Linked DNA regions of Mus musculus: region 2 is reported to be linked to region 1. Evidence: microRNA targets listed by miRTarBase, many of them from high-throughput screens and not tested one by one. Region 1 holds a microRNA gene; the other region holds the end of a gene's coding sequence.
The links. The annotated mature microRNA mmu-miR-324-3p reads CCACUGCCCCAGGUGCUGCU and lies in region 1 at 1,412-1,431, shown strand. An mRNA with a match to its seed (bases 2 to 7 or 8) in the 3' UTR can be bound and repressed. Matches are read on the target gene's strand: a 7mer-m8 pairs with bases 2 to 8, a 7mer-A1 pairs with bases 2 to 7 and ends in A, and an 8mer does both.

Region 2: the mRNA of Psd3 is a reported target of mmu-miR-324-3p. Seed matches in the 3' UTR shown: 8mer at 2,188-2,195.

What each region holds. Positions count from the first base shown.
Region 1 is chr11:70,010,684-70,015,243 of GRCm38, forward strand. Mir324 (microRNA 324) reads left to right here and starts at 1,360; the gene lies at 1,360-1,448. It overlaps Acadvl (acyl-Coenzyme A dehydrogenase, very long chain), which reads right to left. Exons shown (of 20, transcript NM_017366.3): 2 at 4,434-4,512; 3 at 4,110-4,175; 4 at 3,948-4,020; 5 at 3,796-3,860; 6 at 3,562-3,696; 7 at 2,751-2,895; 8 at 2,489-2,618; 9 at 2,275-2,400; 10 at 1,765-1,963; 11 at 1,503-1,607; 12 at 1,001-1,087; 13 at 853-915; 14 at 662-763; 15 at 485-582; 3 more.
Region 2 is chr8:67,693,424-67,697,423 of GRCm38, reverse strand. It overlaps Psd3 (pleckstrin and Sec7 domain containing 3), which reads left to right. Exons shown (of 16, transcript NM_177698.4): 16 at 237-4,000. The coding sequence ends at 452. Among named protein-coding and RNA genes, the nearest start is that of Gm32888, 170 kb to the left of the region's middle.

The DNA.
Region 1 (4,560 bases):
CGCTGCCGCCTTACCTGGACAGAACCACCACCATGGCATAGAGGTCAATGGCGCCGTCCGCCAGTCGCTGCAGCAGGAACTGCTCGTCTGTCAGGTAGATGAGGGTGGGGCTGTTAGTCGGAGGGAGGGAATCAGGGAGGGAAGGGGGTTGCAGAGCTCACTCACTGACAATCCCTTTCTTGTGTTTCACCAGCTTGGCCTCCACCACGGTGGCAAATTGATCCAGAGCCTGCACTGCCTGAAGAGACAAGAGTCACAGACAGAGCTCAGGAGAGGAAGGCAGCGCACAGCCACCGCAGGCTCTGCTTTAAGGCTCACTCACCAGTTCACCACTGCGACTTAACTCTGGGTGGACAATCCCTGACAGACTCAAACCACTGCCGATTCCTGTCCTCCTGAGAGGAGATGGAAGAGTGACTGGTCAGTTGCGGCCTCCCATCTTGTTTGACCCTGACTCTGACCCTGGCCCCGGCCCATGAGGTACCGTCTCAGCTGTTTGCCTGCTTCTCCCATCAGGAGGCCAACGTTTCCAAAAGGATTCTTCAGGGCATTGCCCAGCCCAGTGAGTTCCTTTCCTTTGTCCTGTGGAGAGAAGGGGGACGGCGACAGTGAGGACTCAGTGTCCTCCCCAGCTGCTCTCTCTCATCCTCCTTCCTCTTACCATACAGCCTTGCAGAGCCACAAACAGTCGAAGAATGTCATTTGCCCCTTCAAAGATCCGGAAGATTCGAATATCTCGGAGCACACGCTCCACCCCTGGTTCCTGGCACGCAGGAAGACACAGAAACCTCTGTTGAGATGTGCCTGTCCACTCTGAACAGATGCCCCCCCCTGCCGAGGAATACTCTGTACCTTCATGAAGCCCATGCCCCCCATTATTTGGATGCACTCATCTGCCACTTTCCAGGCCGCCTCCTGAGGACAGAGAACCAGATGAGTTGGATTTTTGAGCTGAGGTCCTAATCTGGACTCCGCCCTCCCATCACACCTGGGTCCTCACCGAGCAAAAGATTTTGCTGATGGCGGCTTCTATCTGGAAGTCTTTGAATCCCTGGTCCATGTTGGCACTCAGCATGTAAGCCATGGACTAAGGGAGCATGGTCGGGACATGGGGAAGACAACAGGGAAGGGCTGCATCAGACAGAATGGCTAATGCTCAGACCTTCAAGACCAGTGCTGATCTACTCCTCCAACCCTTGAATTCACTTTAGCCTCCTGGTCAGGTCAAATATGTCCAATATGTGACCCTCTGGTATATCAGGGGCTTCGAGGCTTCCGACTTTGTAAAGGGGTGGGTTAAAAGTCGTGTTTGGTGCATCTGGGCAGCATTTAGCAGAGCAGCACCACCCTCCAGAAGAGAACTGACTATGCCTCCTCGCATCCCCTAGGGCATTGGTGTAAAGCTGGAGACCCACTGCCCCAGGTGCTGCTGGGGGTTGTAGTCTGACCCAACTGTGAAGAAAGCCATAGGGCTCCAGGGAAGGGGCCCAGGAGGCCCTTACCTCAGTCACATACTGCAGAATAGCCATCCGAGCCAGCTTTTCCTGGATCACCCCAAAGTTGTGAATTTTGTCCCCAAACTGGGTACGATTAGTAGCATGATCAACCTGCAAGAGGGCGCATGTTACCCCACTGTGGTTCTTCAGTTTCCACCTGGACGGGCTGGAGGCCTAACTGTGCCGATGGTCGAGTGTGCATGTGTGTGTGTCGGCGCTCTGAGGCAGTCAGGGACATGTGCTAGCTAGGGACTGGGCTGGGACTCACCGCCTTGGCAATGAGGGATTTCATGGTGCCTGCGAGGGTTGCAGCCATCCCGAATCTTCCGTTGTTGAGGATGTTGACAGCAACCTTGAAGCCATCTCCCACCTCTCCTAGCACATTCTCTGATGGCACCTTCACTCCATCAAAGTACACCTCTGACGTGTTAGATGCTTTGATGCCCATCTTCTTTTCAGGGAGCCCACTGAAAAGGCAGGGCAGGAAAGTTGAGGTATGAACAGGTTGCTGTGGGGGAAAACGGCCTTTTCGGGTCTCATGATCAGGGGAGAACTCCCCAGACTATAAAAAGGATACAGGGCACTGCCTATGTGCCCCAGGGGCTACGGATATCTAGCTATGGCCTGTTAGCCTGTGTTCCCCCAGTGGAAACAAAACTGCTCACCTCCTGTGGGTGCCTCTTGTACAGAGATAGCCCCAGCGTGGCCTGTATTGACTATTTGCTCTTGAGAGCCCAGTGCTGTCCCCATCCTTGATTCTGTTTTGCCCCATACTCACTGGGTAACCCCTCCGAAGCTCCTTTCCACTACAAAAGCTGTGATCTTCTCTTTCACGGCCCCCGTGGCTGCATCTTTAATTGGCGTCTTGGCAAAGACAGTGAAAATGTCAGCCAGGCCCCCATTACTGTGGAAGAGTGAGGTGGTTAGTATAGGGTTTAGAGCAGCAGGGTCAGGCCACTGGGCTGAAGGGTAGAAGAGAAACGGAAGATTGCCTGATCCAGATCTTGCTCCCATTGAGAGTGTAATATTTTCCACAGGGGCTGGGTATGGCTGAGCTTCGGATGGAGGCTACATCGGATCCACTCGAGGGCTCTGTTAGGCAGAAAGCAGCCAAAGCCTGCCCTGTGGGGGAGAGAACGGGCTCACTGGGGATCCTGACCACCAGAGTTGCACCCCCTCATCCCCAGGCAGTTCCTTGTAACACCGTGAGCAGTGTCACACTCCTTACCCCTGGGTCTCTTAAGGTTGCCTTACCAGATGCCACTCTGGGAAGGTATTTTTCTCTCTGGGCCTTTGTGCCATAGAGCAAGATGCCTTTGAAACCGATGCTCTGATGAGCTCCCAGGGTAACGCTAACACCAAGGTCATGCATGCCCACAATCTCTGCCAAGCGAGCATACTGGAGGGAAAGGAGGCATCTGGGATTGTAGCTGGCTGCACTGAACTTGTCCTCAACAAGAATGGGCAGCAGGGCAGACCTGGCCTGGGGCTTGGAGCATCTCTACTCTGAGCATGGGGAGTGGAGTGGGTTTGGACAGGGCACAGGGAGGCTGGCCATGGGGCTCCCAGGTAGGCTGCTTCTCTAGCATGAAACCCTGGAGTCTTTCCTAAGGAGACAGGAGCAGGAACATCAAAGGGCTTAGATAATCCCCCCCCCCCCTTTTGAGGCAGTTTCATTTTGTAGCTCCAGCTAGCCTGAAACTTTGTGGGTTTCCCTGACTGTCCTGAAACTCCCTCTGTAGACCATGCTGGCCTTGAACTCGAGATCCGCCCGCCTCTGCCTCCATCCTCCATGCTGGGATTAAAGATGAGTGCCACTGTGCCCAGCTGCCCTTGGTCTTGATGGGAAGGTTGCCTGCTGTGTTGCCTCACACAGTCCCCAAAGACCTGGGAACCACAGTTAGGTCCACGGTCCTAGTGGGCTGCACACAGATCATGTTTCAGGGGAAAATGTGTGAGAAAAAGGGCAGGCAGGTAGACACTACTCTGGCTACTTGCTTGGCCCTAGTGGTGAGTCTACCAAAACTGGAGCACTGTGGAATGTTAACCAGGGGGATCCTCTCACCTGGGTATTAGAGAGGCCCAAACCACCCAGCTCGCTGGGTACTTGCAGGCCAAATGCCCCCAGTTCCTTGAGTCCCTGCAAAGTGTCGTCCTCCACCTTCTCCAAGGCGTCGTTCTTGGCAGGGTCATTCACTTCCTGAGCAAGGAATAGGAAGAATCTCATATTCAGAGGCTCCTTTAAGCTCCTTAGCATCTTACTTAGCCCAGGAGGGGCTGAGCTCTGGTCATCCCTTACCTCAAAGAACCGGGCCACTGGTCCCACCAGCTCTTTGAGAAATTGTGCCTGTTCTTCACTGAGCACTGTATAATGGGAGAGAAGAGCAGGCTAGTCAGGCAGAGAGGGCTCCCCTGCCCACACTGTCAGTGACTGACTAAGCCTTTACTTACCAGATGGGTATGGGAACACCTGATCAATGGTAAGCTGGCCTTTGAACATCCCCACAGCAAAGGACTTCGATTCCTAGGCAAGGAAGGAAAGGATCTTAGGTGGGTGCCTGGGGTGATTCTACTCCTGGTTTTTAAGTGTCAGTCCAGTTTCCAGTCACTTACTGCCCTGGCTGGTTTTTCTCTGGTGGAAGCATCAGAGGAGAGGGTTTCTGGCTTGTCCAGAACTGCCTGGAGGGAAGGGCAGAGCAGTTAGGCTGGAGATGGGTCTTAAAAGGTGTGCAGGAAGCGCTAGCTCTAGGAAGTGCGTTTGGTGCATGTTCCATTACTTTCTCACTAGGGCACCCTGGCGTGCCCTTTCCCCTACTTTCAGTGACAGAACTGCCACCAGGTGACTGGGTCGAAGAGAGAGACCCCTGTCGGTCGCAGGCTAGTGGGAACTGGCAACTCGCATTTCTACGTCCGTCTCCCTCATCCACTGTCACTTACCTGAGTGGCCTCCCTGGCATAAAGTCGCTGGGCAGAGATAGGCCGGGGTTGTCCCTGAAGCACAGTAGTAGATCGCGAGCTGTAAGGAGTCGGGGTTCAGTTCTGCCCTGGTTCCCAGACCCAGTGT
Region 2 (4,000 bases), not on the chromosome of region 1:
CGTTGGTATTCCTTCCGAATCTAGAATAAATACTAATGGAAATTGTAGGTTAGTTTCTTACTTGAATAAATGAGGCAGTCATCGTTTCACAGTTATGGGTACAGAAGTATTTTGTCAGCTTGGGATAAAGTCAAATATTCAAAAACGTATGATGTCATGTGTAAGAACATGCTAGGTGTGCTACACACATGTAATTGTAAACTGTACTGACCACACTTCTCTGATTTTGCCTTTAGAAAACCCGTTATGAGATTTATGTCAGCGTTCTGAAAGAAGGAGGCAAAGAGCTCCTGACTACCGATGGAAATGAGCCCGTGGGACTGAAGAAGTCACACTCAAGTCCCTCCCTCAACCCAGATGCATCTCCAGTCACTGCCAAGGTCAAGCGCAACGTGTCAGAGAGAAAAGACCACCGACCTGAAACACCGGGCATTAAGCAAAAAGTTACTTAGAATCCATCCGCGGCCAGGAGGTGCTGGTCATGGAACAAAATAGGGTTTTTCAAGATCTTTCTGGTAATCCGTGAATATATTTAAAAAACAGTCTGTGACTAAACGGTGCATTAGTAACCTTTTCTATTATATATTTTTGTTAGTTTCTGTACAGGTGTCTTTGCTCTTGAGTTCCTTTGCTTTGATGATTTGGACAACTTTATAACTAATGCACCTTTTGTGAGGAGGAGGAGGAGGGCTACAGATCCTTTCTCTTCGGCTTTCTCTTATTTGCACTTCTATACAGTTATTTTGTGTATTACCAATCAGTTGTTGTATTTTTTTTTAGGTTTAAATTTTTAATCCATTGTGAAACCCATAACTGGACAAGCATTGTGCTTTTAGTAAATCCTAGACTTTACATGTGAAATCCTGCCCAGTCACGGAGGTGAAGTTGAAAGTTCATAGTTGCTCACATGAAAATGGCAGCGCTGGGAGTCGAGGTGTCCCAAGATAGGACACTTCTGCGTTCTTCCTGGCACCTGTTGTTGGTGCTGGACACAGGACAAAAGGGAGCACGAGGATGACAGGACTGGAGACCTTAGGGAGGCACAGGAGTTTGTCTCAGGTGTGCATTCCATTCCAGCCATGCAAGGGAATTCAGAAGTGGAGTCATCTTGCTTGAAGGGAGCCTGAGGATGGCTTGATCCCGAGCCACTTTTGTTTTCTAAAGGCTGGTGGCAGTAATCAGCTCTTTGGAACTGTAGCAGTAGGATGTATGGTCTTCTATAGAAATGTTACCTCACTCCCATGGAATCTAGACTAGGAATCAAAATCATCTCTGTGATTGATACCTTTCCATCCAGGAATAGATTCATTTAACATAGATGTACAGGCATAGATCATGTCCTGGTTGAAACAAAACAATGTTGGAAATGAATACCACCTTCCCCCACACATACTCTTCTCTTTCTTTTCTATATCAAGACAAATAAGGAGCAACACAGATGCAGTTCTTCATCAAGATCAGGCCATCAGACGGGCTATGAAATCAGTCTGATCACAGTGACCGAGGATGGAGGGGTCTGATGTATGAGCAGCGTCTTAGCTTATTCTCATCTCCACCTCTACAGCGGTCTTGCTATGCCACTATTAAGATTGCTCCTGGAATTACTTGTATACATTTAATCTTATTTTTTTCCTGCATTCAAAATGGTTTCACTTTACAGTCAAAGCAGTCCCTTTACAATTTAAAGTATTAAGTAGAGTATTGTCTGTAGAGGAAGAAAAAGGCGTAAAAGGTGAACTTCCTCTGTGGCTGAAAACTGTCCAGTTTCCAGCCTTGAAACTGTATTCTCTAAAACTACTATCTTCCCATCAAAATATCTTCAAAAACTAACAGGATGACATTTAGATATTCTTTATTCTCCTTAAATATTTCCTCTATTTCGACTTGGTTAGTTGAAGGTACTATGACCAGAGAATCAGCTGCTCTTGCATGAATAGCATGATTCTAGTAAGTTAGAGTAAGCCTGTTAAAAAATCCCGGTAGTTTATAGAGACATCTCGTTAGGATGTACTAGCATTTAGTCACAGGACTGTGTGTTAGCCTGTACTTCTTTCACCTCTGTACATGCCCACCTTGCTTGTGCCCCGGAATAGTAACACTTCTCTCCAATACGGTAGCTGCTTGCTTCATGGTATTTTGCCACACTATTGGAAAAACTTCCCTAAACTTCTATCTTGTTTAAGTAAAGGCAGTGATTTAATTTATATCTCAGAACCATGAAGCGAATATGATAGTTAACATTGTGGCTCCATATACCTGAACTATTTCATAGCATCCTAGTGAATCCAATATTCCCCAAGCAAGTTGCCTTTCTTCTAGAAGGTGAACTATCACTGTCTGCTTTTTGCCTAAGTATTTGTAATCCCTGAAGGGAAAGGTACCAAGACCTTGGAGTCTTGAGCATCATCTTAGAGCATCAGTAGCTGAACAGTTAACATGTCTAAATGTGTTTGTCCACAGTGTGTGCTATATGTATAGAATGTTTGTGTGTACTTATGTAGAGTATCTAATATACATTGAATGGTACCTTGCTGCAGAGTTTCTGACATGGAGAATTGTCTAGGACTACCCTTAGCATTAGCTCTGCCACTGTTCCTGTTACAGGACTCACTAGTGTTGGCTCTAGAGCTTCTGGACATGCTTATAGATAATCAGATCACAAAGGCACTTTTAAAGCTGTGGACTACTCTGTCTACATCATTTATCTTGAAAAATAACTGAAGCAGTCTTTTGTGAGTCAGAATCCCAGCCTGCCCTAGTGTAATGCTGTCTACCTTTGGGGATAGGCTAAAAATGTGTCTTCCCTGAGGCCTCTGGAAGGATGCTGCATTCTCAGATCTGATGGGACTCTAAGAGTCTGGCCCATAGTCAGCCCCATTTCTCCCACAGTATTGATTCCTAAGAAATGGAAGGTGGTCCATTGAACAGCTCTGCTAAGCCTGTTGCCCAGTACACGGTACCGGGAGCTCTTGTCCCTTTCCTTTCCATGGTACTTCATCCTGTCCCTCCTATACCTACTGTCATCCCTACCTCGGTGCCCTGGAGTCTTGGAATTCCTCTCCATATGATAAAGCATTATTTATCTTACATTAATACCTTAAAGGATGGTTCTTAGTATTGAAAATATGAACAAGACATCAAAAGACTTTGATGATAGTCTTGTTGAAAAACTGACCATTGAAGTACCCCTTGTATAAAATCTGTGTGTATCTTGGGCTTCACCCCTACCCCCACATGCTAGCTTCTAAAAAGATTTACCAGGAACCCAGTTTTAAAAATTCTACTTAGAGTCCTTGTTTTATTGGTATATCGTTAGCATTTCTGAAAATGTTTTTCTAAAAGTCTATATAATTTATCTAACTCTTAGTAATGCCTAATTAAGTCAACTGTTACTTATTTATGTTTCCATTATTCCAAAGGAAACCAGCATGTAGAAGACTCCTCTGGTTGAAATAGCTTATAGGTTATATGTAACTTTTTAAAATTGTGCTTAGATAGAGCCATTTTCTCATGCAACGATCTTGTATAGTGTGTAAGGTGCTCTGTGCCCCTCTGTTTTTTCCCCTCATCCTGAAGGTAAGGACTATTTCCAAGGCAAATGTAGTGTAAGGGAATTGGTTCTGAAAGAGGAAAACTTACTGGTTTTCAAGGCCCAGCTAGGGTTGTGTTCTAATCTCCTTGGGAAGTTGAGAGCAGGAAGGTACAAAGGTTCTTCTTCGCCTTCTGCCCCTTTATCATGTAAAGAACAAGGATGAAGGACCATGCTCTGAAATAAGAAAAGACCGTCCTGAAATACTCATCATCTGTCTTTTTTATTAGAAGTCAATTTTCCATTGTCTTTCCAAATAAGAGAGACCTTAGAGGAAGTTAGCTGAACATGGAAATTTAATTCTTTGGCTTTTTTTTTCTATTAATCATCAGTTCAACCTTGCTTGGCATTAAGTTTGTTAGTTCTGAACACCTAAGTATTTGTGGCTTAGCTATTATGGATACAAGATAT